2 linked regions of the Arabidopsis thaliana genome follow. The protein of the gene in region 1 interacts with the protein of each later gene in a pairwise test. Each region holds a gene or a part of one and is shown on either strand. Other genes may lie near its edges. The genes, in order: AT5G35680 and AT5G62440.

Evidence for each region.
Region 2: the proteins of AT5G35680 (region 1) and AT5G62440 interact in a two-hybrid assay, tested with the Arabidopsis thaliana proteins (one study listed by BioGRID).

The regions. Positions count from the first base shown.
Region 1 is NC_003076.8:13,857,134-13,860,737, reverse strand, and holds AT5G35680 (Nucleic acid-binding, OB-fold-like protein), read left to right. Parts: upstream 1-1,724; 5' UTR 1,725-1,860; intron 1,861-2,114; exon of another isoform or gene 2,115-2,143; 5' UTR 2,144-2,148; coding exon 2,149-2,535; coding exon of another isoform or gene 2,536-2,586; exon of another isoform or gene 2,587-2,587; coding exon 2,588-2,653; 3' UTR 2,654-2,817; downstream 2,818-3,604. Other genes in the region: iqd33 (IQ-domain 33), read right to left, coding at 2,828-2,956, 3,042-3,398, 3,490-3,603.
Region 2 is NC_003076.8:25,071,542-25,075,841, forward strand, and holds AT5G62440 (EMB514 (DUF3223)), read right to left. Parts: upstream 2,529-4,300; 5' UTR 2,377-2,528; coding exon 2,080-2,376; intron 1,391-2,079; coding exon 1,079-1,390; 3' UTR 576-1,078; downstream 1-575. Other genes in the region: AT5G62460 (RING/FYVE/PHD zinc finger superfamily protein), read left to right, coding at 3,653-3,655, 3,968-4,300. UniProt on the Arabidopsis thaliana protein: May play a role in ribosome biogenesis and in determining the rate of cell division. Involved in a process essential for nuclear and nucleolar functions.

The sequences.
Region 1 (3,604 bases):
CAACAAAATAGTAATATATGACCTTTCAAGTAATATATTCTACTTATCCATCTTTTTCTCAAATAAAGATTACGAATGACCTCCGGTTCAAAATGGTCTAAAGCTCAACAATCACTTTGTAATTTAGAACCAAAAGAATAAGCTCATAATTTCTAAATCAAAAGCCATACTCCTCGACTCCTCAATTAAATAGATATCTAATTCACTAGCATTATTAGCAACTTGAAGGAATCTTAAAAAGCAAATTCATTTTACCATCAAAATCGATTTCTCTAGTAATCGCAATGAATAATTAAACCATGAGAATTAAACTGTAGAATATTGGAAAATAAAAACTAATCAATCAATTTTGACGAATGAATTTTTTTTTCCAAAGACAAGGTTGGATGTCGCAAGCCTCTTTCGTATAGGGTTCTTTTCTTGGTTGCCCTTTTCAATAGAATATAACTAATTTCTAGATTTTATATATTACAGATTATGATTATTCAATATGCAAACATATAAATAGGTGAGAAAGATATAATGGAAGATGTCTTGGTTTGTTATTATGCAATATATGTGGTCAAATTGATATTGGAAAGTAATGAAGATAAGCTCAAAATGAATATAAAGATAGAGAAAGTAGAAACATGATTATGTGAAATCGATCAATGTTTTTGAGCATCAATTCCCCATTTCAGTCAAGACAAAACAAAAGATAGTCGGATTAATAAATCCATGATTTTACAAGTTCTCATACTATAATTAAATCCTTTAGAGATAAAAAAATATATCTACATGCATGTATTATTTGGCAGTAGAAAGAGAGATTATGTTCTGATCAAAATCTCTTGTACAATATATGTGATGAAAGGAAAAACTTTATAGAAGATGTGATAATTGTAACTACAACATTTCATCTATTTATTTAATTTATGTCTTCGTGCACAAATATTTAAATGTGTATTGTAAAAACAAAATCTAAGGCAAGACAATCTATTTTAATAAATTTGACAATATTAAAATGATGTAATAGTAACGTAGGATAAAGTAATTTTATGTTTATATTTATTTGTATTGATGAAAAAGAAAATAAAGGAAATGAAATGTGTCTCTTAAATTATAGTTTTAAAATAATAATGATATAGATAATTAAGTATATTAAAACTAAATAATGGTATTAAGATAAAACGAGAGAAATCACATGTCACAAAGAGATGTCATATGTTCACAAAGACACAAACTTTCTAATTAAAAAAAAAAAAACTCAAAGTCTTATTAAGAAAAGAGAGCTGCTAATTTATGTAGAAATCTTTCTCCTTTCCATACTAAAGTCCAAGCTTTACTCTGGGCAATGAAGTGTATGGTTGATGCAAACAACCAATAAGTAGTTTTTTTAACAGACTGTTCAGATTTGGTGAAGATAGTATATTTCCCAACTAAATGATCAGCATTTTCAACATATTTAAAGGAGTTTCAGAGCGACAAGGAAGAGTTCACTTCTTTTTCTTTATCTTTAATTTTTCGTAATGTAAATGTCAAGGCGGATAATAAGTTTGTGCTGAATCGTTTCATATCACTTATATAAACAAGTTTCGTCAAGATTGGCTCGTTTGAACCGTAAATAATATATGTTGACAAAAAAATAAAATAAAAAATGGCATGACTCCGTAATAAAACCTAATTTCGAGGGTGTTTTACAAATAGCTACACTATTTAAATAAAAAGACGTCTCTTGCGACATCGATAAAAAAAAGTAGAACAAGCAACACAACGCAGCTAAGAAACCTCCTTAAAGAACAAAGAAAAAACTTGGTGAAATCGATTCTCTTCAAAGATCGTCTTCCTAATCACTTTCAACAACTCGATCAATCCTTACTGGTAATCTCTTCCTTCCCTTTGTTTCTCAATTAGGGTTTCCTTTACACCGCCTTAATTTTTCAATTCAAACTCCAAATTAGGGTTTCCACTGAATTGAAATTACCCAATTATGTTTCGATCTAATTGTTTCTCGTTACCGGAATTGTTTTGATCTGAATTTTGATTCTCGAATTTGCCATTTTTTGTCTGAAATTGAAAAAAAAAACGAATCAATTCTTCAACCTTTTGTAACCTTTACGCCATTATATGATCAGATTCTGATTCTGTATCGAATTTGATACAGAGACGATGCCGAAGAACAAAGGAAAGGGAGGAAAGAACAGGAAGAGAGGAAAGAACGAAGCTGATGACGAAAAGCGAGAGCTTATATTCAAAGAAGATGGACAAGAATACGCACAAGTTCTTCGTATGCTCGGTAACGGTCGATGCGACGTTATGTGCATTGACGGTGTTAAGCGTCTTTGCCATATCCGTGGTAAGATGCATAAGAAGGTTTGGATTGCTGCTGGTGACATCATACTTGTTGGTCTAAGAGATTACCAGGATGATAAAGCTGATGTTATACTCAAGTATATGTCTGATGAGGCTAGGCTTCTTAAGGCGTATGGTGAGCTTCCGGAGAATACTCGTCTTAACGAAGGTATTGTTGGTGATCTTGATGATGATGATGATGTTGTTGGTGAAGATTACATTGAGTTTGAGGATGAGGATATTGATAGGATCTAAGTTTGTTTTTGTTGTTGGCTCTCTGTTCCAGCTTGTATTATCAAATTTGAGATACATATCTTCTTAGATACAGAAGATTGTGATACTATCATTGTTATGTATTTCTGGGGTTTCCAGTTTCTTATCCCTTACTATTACTGGTTTGATTTGAATCCCTAAATAATTTACAGAAAGTTGTTATCTGATTCGAAAGAACAAACTTTTGTGATTTAAATGCAAAGATTTACAGGTAATGCTTATCTTAGGTGCTGCTATTTAGCTTATGTGAGGTTTCTTCGCATTCGTTTCCTGTTTTGCAGCTTGTGGGTGTGGTTTTGGCCTTCTTTGCTTTCTTTGTTTGTTGTTGCAGATCACTTTTGGTGGCCTGAAGCTGCAAACGTAAAACGAGACAGGTAAGTATGTTTGAGATAGATGGGACTCAGAAACTTCTATGCATTGTGGGGTTTTTTCTTTACCTTGTGATGCTTTCTCTGGCTTTTGTAGCTTGGAACAGATTTACGCTTAGATATACTTGGTTTAAAACTACTTTTTTCGGTCTGCAAAACTGTAGTTGCATCTCCTTGTGTCTCTGATATGCTTTCAAAATGGAGAGGTAGGTCGTTGGAAGCACAGCTCTCCAACTCGCCAGCTGTACCAAAAGCTCTATTCTTTCTTATCAAGCTTTGATTTTTCGTTGCAACATCTGTTCTTGGTTCAATTGGAATGCTGTCTGGTACACGGGTTGCCATCCAGCGTTCTAACCAACTCCAACCGATATTGGAATCATCTTCACTGCTACGATCTATTTGTTTCTTCTTTGAGCAAATTCTTAGCTTTAAACAAATGTTTCACTAGTTTAGAAAAGATAAGTTCTTTGGATCTTTTAGGATTCAATCTGTGATCAAGTGTTTTGAAATCGTTTACCTGCTGTGAAAATGCATACGCAAGTGCTCTCTCCCGTTTTGTCATTGCTTCGACTCTGCTTTGAATCCTTGATTTTGATATGGTGCTGCTCACTGTACTATCATCCCAGTCTTCC
Region 2 (4,300 bases), about 11 Mb from region 1:
TTTGGTTTGGAGAAACATATACCCTTCTTTTATACACAAAGATTAATCACAACCATTAATAGAAAATCAATTATAAAAAAAAAAACAAAAAAAAAACTTCACAACCATATAACATCCATTGACGAATTTCATTAAGTGAACGGTTGTACGTTAAGATAAGAAGACTGCAGAAGAAGGTAATAGATATGAGGTGCTCTCTCATTGGCTATTACCAAAAAGGTCTCTGCCACATTTTATGATTTACCAAACTCTGCCTTTTTTCCATGTCAACTTCTACTGTAGGTCCCTTACTCACCTGCATCTTGGTCAGATCATAGATTTCACAAACTGATTGTGTTGCAGTAAGATCGTAGTTAAGAAGCTTCCTAAATCTAAGAAGGCTTAACAAAACAAAATTTGTTGCATCTTCAAAAGACAATTTGTGTATGTGTCTATTTGTATATTGTGTAAGAAGACAATTTGGAATATTAATCCGAATACCGAATATCGGATAATGTTTCTTTATAATTCATAATGTGTTTCAAAATAATCCATTATTCCAAGACGTGTGCCAACCAGTGTTATCACTTCATGTAATCATTTTTTAGCAGGGTTAAGATTTAAGACAGCTTTAGTTTGAGGGCATTGTCTTTCTCTTAGAAGGGTCGTAAACGGTGAACATGTCACACACAGTAAGTTACCAAAGTCAAAATGTCGGTTTTTCATAACTTCCCCAATTCTTTTTATTTAACATTATCATTTAGCAACCAGATCAACACTACACTATCAATGGAAAGTGTTTTTTTTTCATCTAGATTTTGATTTGAGTTTTTCGTTTTTGAATTATTGGTTTTTAAAAACTAGATCAACCAGATTTTTAGTTCTATTGACGCGTCTGTGTTTTTTTCTGATGTTGTCAAGATAGTAGGGACAATATTCTTCTTCTTCAGCAATAATGGGTTATATAAACTGACAATTTTTCTCCAACAAAAAGCAGTTGCATTAGACAAGATCATAACTTTTAAAGTTTTTGGCAAAAGAACTAAATCTGAAATTTTCAAAATTTTCTTTTGAAATAAGGCATCAAGTGTCAGCATATTCATCTTCTGAATCTCCCTCCTCTACCACCACCACGACCGCCTCTTCTTCCACCACCGCCACCGCGACCTCCACCATGTCCATTGCCGTTAGCTCCAGGAGTCTTCATGTTTTCAGGCAATGGGAGGATTTGATCAACACACTTCCTGAAGCTGAAATCGTCTGCAGTATCGTCTTCCCTAACCAGAAAGAAGCATCTGCTTTTCCACATTGGGTGGGTTCTTACTTGGAAGGTTTTGATTCCTCCTCCAATCTTCTTTTCAGGCTCAGAATGGCCCTTCTTAATCAGATCTAGCAGCACCATGTGCTCATACTGAAATGTACAATCCAGAACAAAGTTCAGTACAACGAGTTAGTTAGTTGGAAGCTCAAAAGAAACTGCAACAACTGTAATATATTACATGACTATGCAATGTTTTATCTTTTATTTGTGCCCTCAAAATTTGACATTAACTTCATTCTTCTAACCATTATATGACATCAAGACCCAAAAAAACTTTCTAATTCACACACAATCCACAATCATATAATCAGTAAGAACACGATACATTTGAACTTTTCAACTAGTAAAAAAGCTGCAAAGGAGTCCAATTTACAAGCTATCTCCACTTCACTAATCCTCTCCCTAAACATAATACAATATCCACAATCATCTCCCTAAACATAATACAATATCCACAATCATTGTAAACAACCACTAATTTGAGACAAAAACAAAATTCTAACACCAAACACTGAATCCAAAATCAAATCATATGACCAATACAAAGGCGAACCCAATTCTCAATTTCTTTTAGTTTAAATACAAAGCACGATCATCATCAGATTCATTGATAAAACATCTTCCTAAACACATCACAGAACTTAATAATCACAATCAGAGCTCTTAGATTAACCTATATAAGTCTCGAGCAAAGGAATGAATATTTCCAAAAAATTTGAAACTTTACAATAAACAAAGCCAAAAGACAAAGACGAAGAGTAAACCCAAATATGTATTACCTTATTAACATCGAGATCAGTTGGCCAAAAGTGTAAAAACTTGACAAAGTAATCGAACATCGCCACAGAGGTAACAAACTCCTTGGGACCAAGTTTAACCGGACCTGACTTCTCTTCCTCTCCAACCTTCTGCTTCTTCGATTCACCTCCGTTCTCTTCTTCCTCTGTCTCCTCTCTCTCACGTTTCTCATCGCCGGTCTCGGCTTTCGGGGTCGCGGTTTCGACTTCCATGTCCACTTTCTGGTCTGGGTTCACTTCCGCTGACAGGGAATCGACGATCTCTTGTTCTTCAGCCATTGTTAAGCTAGTAAAGCTTCCGCCTTTTTTTCACCTTTCTACGATTTCTAGGGTTTAAGCTTGAGGGTGTGTGACCTACAGAAATCGTCTAAGCGGTATATTTATATGACTTTGGTTTCCGATTGAACCGAACTGGTTCGGTCTATTTGATTTTTTGGCTCGACGGCATACACTACATGAAAACCAGGATTTTCAATGTAGTAACTAATTTGTCGTCATTGATCTGTCCAATTATTATTTTTACGTCTCTTAAATCTTTTCATTTTAAAGTCTACATTTTTCTAATATATTTTTTTATTAATCATCTCAAGATATTTTTTTAGTCTACAAATTACTTTTACTGTTGTAGAAAATTTGGATAATAGTCAGTAATTCTAAATAATAGAATAAAAACTCAAATCTTAATATAATAGTTTAACAAATAAATCATATTATACTTTTTTTGGATAAAAAATGTTGATATAATTTACAATGTTATTAAAAATAATTTTTGGGATACCTAAACGTTTTAGATGTTCAGTCTGTCGGGATATCTTGGAGACTTAACTTATTGATCAATCACAATTTTTGCCAAAGAGGAAAATGTCAAAGTCAAACGAACATCTTTTGAAATTATTTACATCTCGTGGAATTAATGGAACTTCTTAAATTTTTCAAAAATTTGACATAATTGGAATATATTTTTTTTGCTTCTAGTCAATCTTACCATATTATCTATCAACAGTCAAACACCTCAATCTTAAATTTTCTAAAAATAATGGAATTATTTTATCGTATTTTGGTAAAGAGTTATTTTTGTAATATTATCTAAAATCTAAAAAGAACCAAGATAGATAGGTACAAAAAAAAAAAAAACTTTTTTTTGTGAAAATCTGATTATCATAACGTTACCGTGTCAAATCGTCAACCTCCATAACTCCGGTTTTGTGTATTTAATTATATATTTATCTGTTTACACGCGCTTCGAAATTTTGATTTACTTATCTGAATATTTTTCCAGACCGAACATCAAACAAGAAAACACATTTGTCCGAATTTCATCTTGAGAGCTGTTTGTGCCCTTCAAGAAATCGAAAGAGAGCTTCTTTCCCCCATTTTCTGCGATTCACGATATTTCTTCTTCTATAGGTAATCATAATTTGATCATCTTCTCTTTTATCTCTTTTTTTCTTTCATTTTCTTCTTGGGTTATGGTTGGTTGATTCTGCTATTTGGGAATTTTGATTTCTGTGACTTTTGGGGTTTCAATTTCATTCCTGAATTGTGATGGAATCGAATGGTATCTCTCTTTTGTTTTCATGGTTGAGATGTGATTCTGAAATTTGGGGATTTTCCGATTAGGTTTATGTCTTGAAAATTTGGGGAAATTTGGAGACAAAGACATATTTTAAACTCAGATCCTAATCTCTTCCACCAAGACATTTTCCCTGAATTGTTCCGCTTTAATGAAATGAAATCGATTGTCTGAGCTCAATTATGATGTTTCGATTCAAAGAAATGGAGATTTTTGTGTTGATGATGGAACATTTATCATTATAAGAGTTATGAGATTTTTATTTTGAATCTTTGGATCTTTCTTGGTTTTTAACAGGACAACGTTTTTTTACACATTGAGGCTAAAAGAGAGATGGCTGATGATCAGAGTTCAAGTACTGACCGTCTCGTGAAACCTGAAAGTTTAAACTCAGATAGAGGATCCAATCAATCTATTGAATCTTCTGGAGAGAGTTCTAGAGCTCAGGGTTCCACAAGCCTGTCTACTACTAAATCTATGGATGGTAAGAAAACCGAGGAAGAAGAGACAACGGAACAACGCGATGTTGATGATGAAGAGGAACCGCTCATCCAATCGGTTGAATGTCGTATATGCCAAGAGGAGGATTCCGTTAAGAACCTCGAGTCCCCTTGTTCTTGTAGTGGCAGT